Solanum lycopersicum: one gene and its partners. The protein of the gene in region 3 interacts with the protein of the main gene of each other region in a pairwise test. Links are inferred from orthologs where the notes say so. Each region holds a gene or a part of one and is shown on either strand. Other genes may lie near its edges. The genes, in order: uncharacterized protein, peroxisomal targeting signal type 2 receptor and B3 domain-containing transcription repressor VAL2.

The links.
Region 1: the proteins of B3 domain-containing transcription repressor VAL2 (region 3) and uncharacterized protein interact in binary tests that used the Arabidopsis thaliana proteins (3 or more experiments, as listed by UniProt). The link is inferred for Solanum lycopersicum from reciprocal best matches to the Arabidopsis thaliana genes HSL1 and MFDX1.
Region 2: the proteins of B3 domain-containing transcription repressor VAL2 (region 3) and peroxisomal targeting signal type 2 receptor interact in binary tests that used the Arabidopsis thaliana proteins (3 or more experiments, as listed by UniProt). The link is inferred for Solanum lycopersicum from reciprocal best matches to the Arabidopsis thaliana genes HSL1 and PEX7.

Annotation. Positions count from the first base shown.
Region 1 is NC_090800.1:2,918,631-2,921,364, reverse strand, and holds the end of uncharacterized protein, read left to right. Parts: intron 1-644; coding exon 645-751; intron 752-1,468; coding exon 1,469-1,518; intron 1,519-1,659; coding exon 1,660-1,742; intron 1,743-1,818; coding exon of another isoform or gene 1,819-1,821; coding exon 1,822-1,936; 3' UTR 1,937-2,199; downstream 2,200-2,734. UniProt on the Arabidopsis thaliana protein: Associates in vitro with the adrenodoxin reductase MFDR to form an efficient low potential electron transfer chain that is able to reduce cytochrome C. Functions as accessory mitochondrial protein involved with BIO2 in the plant biotin synthase reaction.
Region 2 is NC_090802.1:30,672,739-30,675,579, forward strand, and holds peroxisomal targeting signal type 2 receptor, read left to right. Parts: upstream 1-786; 5' UTR 787-907; coding exon 908-1,451; intron 1,452-1,590; coding exon 1,591-1,997; 3' UTR 1,998-2,195; downstream 2,196-2,841. UniProt on the Arabidopsis thaliana protein: Receptor required for the peroxisomal import of proteins containing a C-terminal PTS2-type peroxisomal targeting signal. Specifically binds to cargo proteins containing a PTS2 peroxisomal targeting signal in the cytosol.
Region 3 is NC_090809.1:57,741,316-57,744,980, forward strand, and holds part of B3 domain-containing transcription repressor VAL2, read left to right. Parts: intron 1-1,542; coding exon 1,543-1,619; intron 1,620-1,701; coding exon 1,702-2,124; intron 2,125-2,284; coding exon 2,285-2,334; intron 2,335-3,149; coding exon 3,150-3,263; intron 3,264-3,345; coding exon 3,346-3,413; intron 3,414-3,665. UniProt on the Arabidopsis thaliana protein: Transcriptional repressor of gene expression involved in embryonic pathways, such as LEC1, ABI3, and FUS3. Repressor of the sugar-inducible genes involved in the seed maturation program in seedlings.

The DNA of each region.
Region 1 (2,734 bases), on a different chromosome or scaffold from region 3:
CCATTGGAAGTAAAACCATAGAAATTTACCAACCTAGCAGTATAGAAATTTTCCAACCTAGCAGTAAGTGGTGCCATGAGCGTTTATATGGACGGAAAGAAGAGTTCACAGAATATTTATAAAGTAGGCCCTTCTCTAAATCAACTTCTATAGATTGAGATGCTAGGTATGTGTTCGGTATTTTTATTTAATTCTAACTGGATCAGAATTGATCCTCGAAAAATCAGATTTGTTCTTTCCCGCTCTAGGATCATGAAACTAATTCACGTTCACTCCTACTTATCTATATCTATTATTTTCTAAAAACTACCTAAAATTTTGGACAAATATCTCATTTGCTTTTCTATGTCCAATGCATGAAGTCACCAGGGGAAGTTTTTGTTACAATCCAACATTTCCTCCTTAAACTTATGTCTGACATCTATTGCACTTCCTCATATAGATTATGTATCAGATATTTAATAACCTTTTTCTATATGAATTATGATGGTAATTTTTGAACTTTGTGCTATCTCCTTGATTTCATCCATCATTAGCTTATCATAGTTAGCCTCTACAATTTAGCTGATGGAATGTCTGAGATTATGCCACACTGATTTAGTTACCACAAACTTACTTTTCTATGGTCTCTTTGTGATTTGCAGAATATCTGTAACTTTTGTTGACAAGGATGGTGAAGAGAACCATATCAAGGTCCCTGTTGGAATGTCTATGTTAGAAGCTGCACATGAAAATGACATTGAACTTGAAGGTCAGCTTTGTTGAGGTGTCTTGGTTCATATATATTGAACGGATCTTATAAATCGTCAACTACTTAAGTTTGCTGATATTTTAATTATGATAAGGCGATTTAGTGAATCTTGGTACTAGTTCCAGTCAGTTGGGAGGCATTTATTGGATATGTTAGAATTTTCATCTAACATCATCTTGCAGTCCTACCTATCCAAGAAGTTCCAAGAGAACAATGGAAAAGAACGTAGTGTTCCCTTACATATTCGAACATAATGTGTTGGAATTCCCAAAATTGTTTCGAAGTTAGTGGTATGGTTGGGCTCTATGAGTTCCAGAAGGCACCGTCTTCATACTAGAGATACTACTGAAGCGGGGATGGTGATGGTAAGAGAGGAAGTTTGTAACATATCTTTACTGTTTCCTGGAGAGATGGTGGTTGAAGATATGCACATGGGACGATTTTATTAAGACCGTCTTAAATGAAAGTTTGTATGTTCACGATACTCTTCCAGTTTCGACTTCAGTATTAGATACTCCATAGCCACAGATGCATACATCTAGGCAAAATTACATGATTGACACATGCATGCCTACTTATTGTGGTTTAGGACACCGTCAGATAAATAAAAAAACGTTGTTAGAACACTTCTAGATACTCTTGTGGTGTTAACATTTCTAAGCACGACAACCAAATGCTTTGCTTAACTTGACTAAAACTGTATGGCCTTTGATGCAGGAGCATGTGAAGCTTCGCTTGCCTGTTCCACATGTCATGTGATTGTTATGGTAAGTAATTGTGATCGGGATAATGTCATTGGCTTCTTTTTTCCGCCTGGCTGGGAGCTACTGAGCTACTCAATACCATCTTGCTTGTTTTGATCTAATAAATACGCTGTATTTCTTATCTATTCTTGTGGCGTTTCACAGGATATGGAGTATTACAACAAGCTAGAAGATCCAACAGATGAAGAAAATGATATGTTGGATCTTGCTTTTGCTCTCACCGATACGTAAGTCTCTTGCTTTCTACTATTTAGCAGTTCCCATGATCTATGAATCTTCTCATTCTCATACATTCATCGTCTTCAGGTCACGTCTAGGTTGTCAGGTAATTGCAAAACCTGAACTTGATGGCATTCGATTAGCTCTCCCTGTTGCTACAAGAAACTTTGCTGTTGATGGTTATAAACCGAAACCACATTAGAACTTTTTCTACCATAGATAAAAGATTTTATGGTTCATGTCTAACAAACACACGAGTCAACAGATTTTGTGGGATGATTATACTTATAGGAACCATTTTGATTACTTATTTACTTGTTTCACTGGTAATATTCCGGGCGATATACTGGATTCATCGTCGTGGTGTCTGCTTGTCCATCCTCACAATAATACTCACACTAGTTCTGCAGAAACCTCTGTATTCTTTTACATCAAATTCAATGTAATACTAGTATTATCATTCTAGTATTTGCACTCATAAATGGCTAGAGACGTCAAAATGGGCTTGGCCCGCGAGGCCAGCCCAACCCTTGAAATAAGTGGGGTTGGGCTTAATTTTTTTTGGCCGATTTAGGAATGAGGCTTTTAAGCCCGCCCCGTTTGGCCCCTTTGCCTCATAAGTCCAGCTCGCAAGCCACATAGGTCAGCCCGCGGGCTATTAATTTTTGAAAATATTTTAATATATATTTTTAGTAGTGTTTTATTTGTCAAGATTTGATAAATAAATATTTTGAAGAAAAAAAAAACAAAATTTTGCAATATCTTGTATGGTGAATTATAGATGAAGATGAACTTCTTAACGAAACAATATCACATGTTGATTCAAATGTGATCGGAAGAAGCGGAGTCGTAAAACTTTAATTAGTGGGTCATGTAATATTTAGTAATTTAGATTTGTTAAGTATTTGGGTTGCCTTGTGTTGCTGGAAATCTTTTAAATCAACTAGTTTTTTGTGGGAGAAATGGTGGAATTATCAACATTTATTTGTTAAATCTTACG
Region 2 (2,841 bases), on a different chromosome or scaffold from region 3:
AACAAACAATTATATTTTCATAATATTAGTTAAGAACATATATTTATTTTAACTAATATATCTTCAAAATACAATGTATCTTAAATATTTAGATATTATTTATGAAATTTCTTCTTTATCTAAAACAGTTGTATATTCTAACAATTGATGTACAGTGTAATTCCACTATGATGAACAAACAAATCAATATAATTAGGGAAAAATGTCTGAATATATTTAATTTTTGATCAAAATTGTTATAACAATTTCAATTTGGGCAGGACTTTTTACTCTTTTGCACTATAAATAATGTATTTTAAAGGTATATATATGCCCACGTGGATATTATCAATATTGCATCATCACAGATAGTATAACTTATCTACATGATCACATATATGCTTTTAAATACACTATTTCCTCCGTTTCACAAAGAATGATCTGGTTTGGCTTGACAAAGGATTTAATAATATAAAGAAGAATTTTGAATCTTGTGGTACTAAACTAAAATTAGGTCAAACGTATAAAATTGCTTTTTGATCTTATGATCTTAAACATGTCAGGTGGAAAATTGAAATTAAAATGTTACAAAAAAAAAAATTATTCTTTTTGAAACAGACTAATAAAATGAGATTATTCTTTTTAAGACCGAGAAAATATATTAAATAATGCAAAGATAATAGATTTTTCTCAAAATTTTAAATTGTTAGAATAATTTCTATTGAAATTAACATATTTCAAATCCTTTTAGCATATAATTACTAAGCTATCCCTATTAATACATCAATTCGATTGATTTTCCAAACAACCCTTATATCTCAAATACAGGACGATTTTGGGGGAAAACCCCTTTTACATCGGGAAAGTAAATCACCGGCAACAATCAAATCAGCGCCGACCGCTGTCCGCCGTCCGCCGACCGCCTAAGATGCCGGTATTTAAAACTCCATTTAACGGTTACTCCGTAAAATTCAGTCCCTTCTACGAAAACAAACTAGCTGTGGCCACTGCGCAGAATTTCGGCATCCTTGGTAACGGGAGAGTTCACATTCTTCAGCTCAATCCAAACGGACCGGTATCGGAACTTGCGGCTTTTGACACAGCTGATGGAGTTTACGACGTTTGCTGGTCGGAAGCTCACGATTCACTTGTTATTGCTGGAAGTGGCGATGGTTCTGTGAAACTCTATGACCTTTCTTTGCCTCCCACCAATAACCCTATTCGTTCTTTTAAGGAACATACACGGGAAGTTCACTCTGTTGACTATAATACCGTGAGAAAAGATTCCTTCTTGTCAGCGTCTTGGGATGATACTGTGAAGCTATGGACTGTTGATAGAAATGCCAGTGTAAGGACTTTTAAGGAACATGCTTATTGTGTCTATTCCGCTGCTTGGAATCCAAGACATGCTGATATCTTTGCATCTGCTTCTGGGGATTGTACTACTCGCATCTGGGATGTCCGCGAACCAGGTTAGCTTTGGATACATGTATTTGGCTGATCATACCTAAGAAAAATGATTCATTTCAACTGGTTTGACTAAGTTTTGATTAGTTTTTTAGGAGATTAATGATTTATCATTTTAACACGTATAATTCATGATTTGTGAAGGTTCTACAATGATTCTGCCTGCACACGAGTTTGAAATCCTCACATGTGATTGGAGTAAGTATGACGATTGTATCATTGCAACTGCATCCGTTGATAAGTCAATCAAGGTTTGGGATGTTAGGAATTATAGAGTGCCAATATCAGTGCTTAATGGGCATGGATATGCAGTGAGGAAAGTGAGGTTTTCACCACATAGAGCGAGTGCAATGGTTTCTTGTTCATATGACATGACAGTTTGCATGTGGGATTACATGGTGGAAGATGCACTTATTGGGAGGTATGATCATCACACAGAGTTTGCTGTAGGAGTTGATATGAGCGTTCTCGTTGAAGGTCTATTGGCTAGTACAGGATGGGATGAACTTGTTTATGTTTGGCAACATGGAATGGACCCTAGAGCTTCTTGACAAAGGGAAGTCAAACATTTTCTTCTTTTTACTTTTATGTACTTAATGCTAAGAGAGGAAGTGAATAAACTGCTTATGTTTGGAAACATGGAATGGGAACTATTTATGATGTCTGCTGTTGAAGTTGTAAAATAATTTGAAGTTTCATTGTATTTAAGATTTTGGTAAAACCTTGGTAAATGACATTTACACCAAACAGCTTTGATGTTTCAGAAAATATGCGCTATATGTCAATCACTTTGGGTTCTGTATGCTTTTTTGGAATGTCAATTCCCTGAATTTCTTTAACATTATTCAGAATTTTACGAGGGGCAGTGGGTCGGGTAAGGGTTGAAAAGAAGGCACATACTTCTGATCGGGGTTTAGCGTGTTCTGTTTATAAAAAATAACAAACGGAGATCCTATAAGAGAGCTTACAGAACAGGTACTTCATTTCAAATATGTGCAATGCCATTTTCACTCAAAGGCCTGCATTCATACTTCAGTGGAAGATTCGTCCCTGATCAAGCACTTAGAGTCATCCTATAAGAGAGCGTACAGAACAGGGCAATGACATTTTCACACAAATGCCTTCATCCTTACTTCAGTGGAGGATGCATTCCTGATCAAGCACTTAAGAGTAGTCATTCTTGTAATTCATATTTTCATGTTAATTCTCTCAAATGTCTTGCTTACTTGTGGGATAATTAATGTCAGTAAACATGTCATGGGGGCTGTATTTTATTTTACAGTGCATTTTGAGAGAAGATAGACAACTAAATTTGCACAACTACACTCTAAAGGGTAAAAGGATAAATAATCCCTAATGTAAAAAGTGACTTTTGATTCAATTTTATGAGAAGTT
Region 3 (3,665 bases):
AAAAAAGAATTTTGTTTAGTTGATAGTAATTGATTGTTTTTTAAAAGTATACTATTGGGCTTAATTATCCTTTTGGCTCCGGACACGGAAATATCTCTTGCCCAACCTGATAAGTTTTGGGCAGGTTTTAAATAATTGGGTCAATTTTGCTACCCCTAGTTCTTTGCTTTAACTCAACATTGAAGCAATGATGCTGGCAGGTCAATACTCATTATCCACCTCTATTTGAGATAAAGGGGGTCAGGTTAGACATAGTATTTATGAGATTTGAATTTTTGACACTCCAAATACAAGCCTTTGCCTATCAGTCTTTGTTAAAGCCAGTCAGCTATTCTGGAATTAGAATGACAGTAATAGGGCCAATACTTCTTTCACTTTTCCAAGTTTAGTATTATTAGCTATAAAACAACGAGTTCATTGTTAACTACTGTAACTTTTAAGTTGGTCTGACAGGATGATCCTTAATTATATTTACTTCTTGTAACAACCAACTATTTTCCTATTCATACACTATCAGAGGGAGGATAGTCGCATTGAGTACTTATAGTATTAACATAGTCTGGTTCCTAACAGGTTTGAATATAAGAACGTTATGCCAGGAAGTGAATAGAGTGAAGATGCAAATATCGTATGGAATATTTTTTCCCATCTTCTTCTAGGTATCTAATATGAAAGAATTTGTTTTTTTTTTAGGTTTTTACTGAAAATGTCTGGTGTACTGGCTCAATGATTCAATATATTTATAGAGTCCTTCAACTACTAACAAAAATTATTTTTGTATTCTAAAATCAAGATAATAAAACAGAACATGAGTTTCACCTCTGTAGTCTTGCTGACTTCTGTGCTCATATTCTTGCATTGATCTTGCTCATGAGTTGGTCCAGCTCCTGATAAGCTCCACATGCTCAAGAAATGGATAGAAAGCGGGAGAAACTCATGTTTTTCTCTAGTGAATGAATTCCAAAATTTCGTGTTGTGGAGAGTCCCACATCGGCAATGGAAAAGGGAATTTAGACTCTTTAAATGATCTTGGGCAATCCTCACCTCTTGAGCTAGCTTTTGGGGTTTAGTTAGGCGCAAGGTCCATCTGACTTATGTGCTCATATTCTTGCATTGATCTTGCTCGTGAGTCTGTCCAGCTCCTGATAAGCTCCACATGCTCAAGAAATGGATAGAAAGCGAGAGAAACACGTGTTTTTCCCTAGTGAATGAATTCCAAAATTTTCGTGTTGTGGAGAGTCCCACATCGGCAATGGAAAGGGAATTTAGACTATTTAAACGATCTTGGGCAACGCTCACCTCTTGAGCTAGCTTTTGGAGTTGAGTTAGGCACAAGGGCTATTTCTTTAGTACCTGTCATTTTATGTTTTTGTTCCTTGTTCGTTTTTGTGCTCTCTATTCAGACTTAGGATTCTACTACTCATTTCTCATCCTATAAGAACATTTAATTACATGTTTTTGTTCATTGTTCGTTTTTGTGCTCTCTATTCAGACTTAAGATTTTACTACTCATTTCTCATCCTATAGAACATTTCATTGCAGTGACTTTCAGCCGCATGGATCCAGAAGGAAAGCTTTTAATGGGGTTTCGTAAAGCATCAACTGTTAAAATAACTCAGGTAACTATTCCACATAGGGGCTTCGTCTTGAGTTCACTTTAGTGGCTTATGGGATATAATATTGATTATATTGCCTAAACAGGAAAATCGTCTGTCAGCCATACCCAAGAATGTTTTCTCTACTGAACCCACCTCCTTCTCAGCAATGCCTGAGAATCTACCTTTGATGAGTGGTTATTCTGGCCTTCTTCAATCATTTAAAGGAAGCAGGGAGTCTTCTGTGAATTTATCCTCGAAGCATTTCAATAGTGGTGATTTTAGCTGGTACTTAACGGAGAAGAACGGAGGCAGGAATGCAGATGGTGCCTTCTCCCCTTCAATGCCTGTATCAGAGCGTAAAAGAAGTCGTAATATTGGGTCAAAAAGTAAGAGACTGCTCATTGATGCCCACGATGCTTTGGAGTTGAAGCTTTCATGGGAGGAGTTACAGGATATGCTCCGACCACCACTGAGTGTTCAGCCAACCACTGTCACCATAGAGGACCAAGAATTTGAAGAATACGAAGTATGTAGCTTTATCTTTGAAATAATCTGTGCTGCTCATGCTTTGTGGTTGAACTAGATGAATTTCACATTATCTTAATCGACGAGAATTGCTGTTAAGATTTAATCATTCCGCTAAAAAACTCTGGCTTTGGTTTGTAACTTTGTTCTTCAAAATGCAGCAACCACCTGTTCTTGGGAAGAGGAGTATATTTACTGTCCGCTTATCTGGGTAAGAAAGAATATCTTATCAGAATGTATTCCACTACTCCAACATGTTGCTTAAAAAATTATGAGAAAGGACATCAGCAATAACAGACCGTCATAAGTTACCTTTTCTGAATATTTTCACTAACAAGGAGTCGAGGGCCTATGTTGCTTAGACTCCAAAACAGCTACCACAACCGTGTCAAATCCTCCAAAAAAGCTTAGCTTTTGGACGATCTGAGACGCACGCGGCGACCTAGTTAGATGGCTGATAGGAAACAATATTATGTTACTAACTGGTTTGGTCAGCATGAAAATGTGAAGAATGTCCCTAAAATAGGTAAATTCTAACTCATTCTGCTGCTACAAGAAGAGCTTTCCTCTTTCCAAAAAGTTTGGTCCTAAGACATAGCTCTCTGTACAGTGGCTGTTTCCTCTGAGAGACTCCTTTCTCCCGTCATATTCCAAATATTTCTTTTATTCAGACATTAATTTTGGAAGCTGATAGATATAGTGGTGCTGTCTCTTCCCTTGGCATTCTTTGACCTGTTTATTTCTCCAATGGTTAAGAAAACAGAAAAGAGATAGGAGATGACAAAATAATGGGAAGATATCGGAGCGGGCATAGACACAAGAGGCACCAAATAGGATGACATCACCAATTCACTGTTGAAGTTTGAACTGTAGACTGTAATTTGTTCCACATATTCAACTGCAACAAATACTCTTACAAAACATATATTTTCTTTTCTAAAGATTCTTTTTCATGTCCATCATTGACATTTGATATTCCTTAGACTGCTCAAATTGGAAGTTTTACTGGTATATCACTGATCCCAGGGAGCAGGAGCAGTGGGCTCAATGTGATAATTGCTTTAAGTGGCGAAAGTTGCCAGCTGATTATCTTCTACCTCCTCATTGGACATGTCAGGACAACATTTCAGATCATAGCAGGTCAGGACACCGCAATTCAAGGAATTTTGCTCAACAGCACTTATGCGACTTAAAATTAGACTAATCATGCTCATGTTCTCAGGTCCTCTTGTTCCATCCCAGACGATTTAACACCCAGAGAGCTTGAAAATCTTTTCAAAATGGACAAGGGTGAAGTAACTTGTTGCTTTAGTTTTAGTGTATATTTCGGTCATGCACCAGCTGGTTCTTATATGATAACGTCCTAAAATTCACGAACTCTTGATTTAATATACTTATGTAATGCCTTCATTATTTGTAAGCCTGTAGTTGTGCTAAACTAAATTTCATTTACCGATCACATAATTAACATGTAGCCAGTTGTGCACATATGATATGAAACTATCGGACGAATTACCTCCCATCCGTTCTAGCTACAATGTT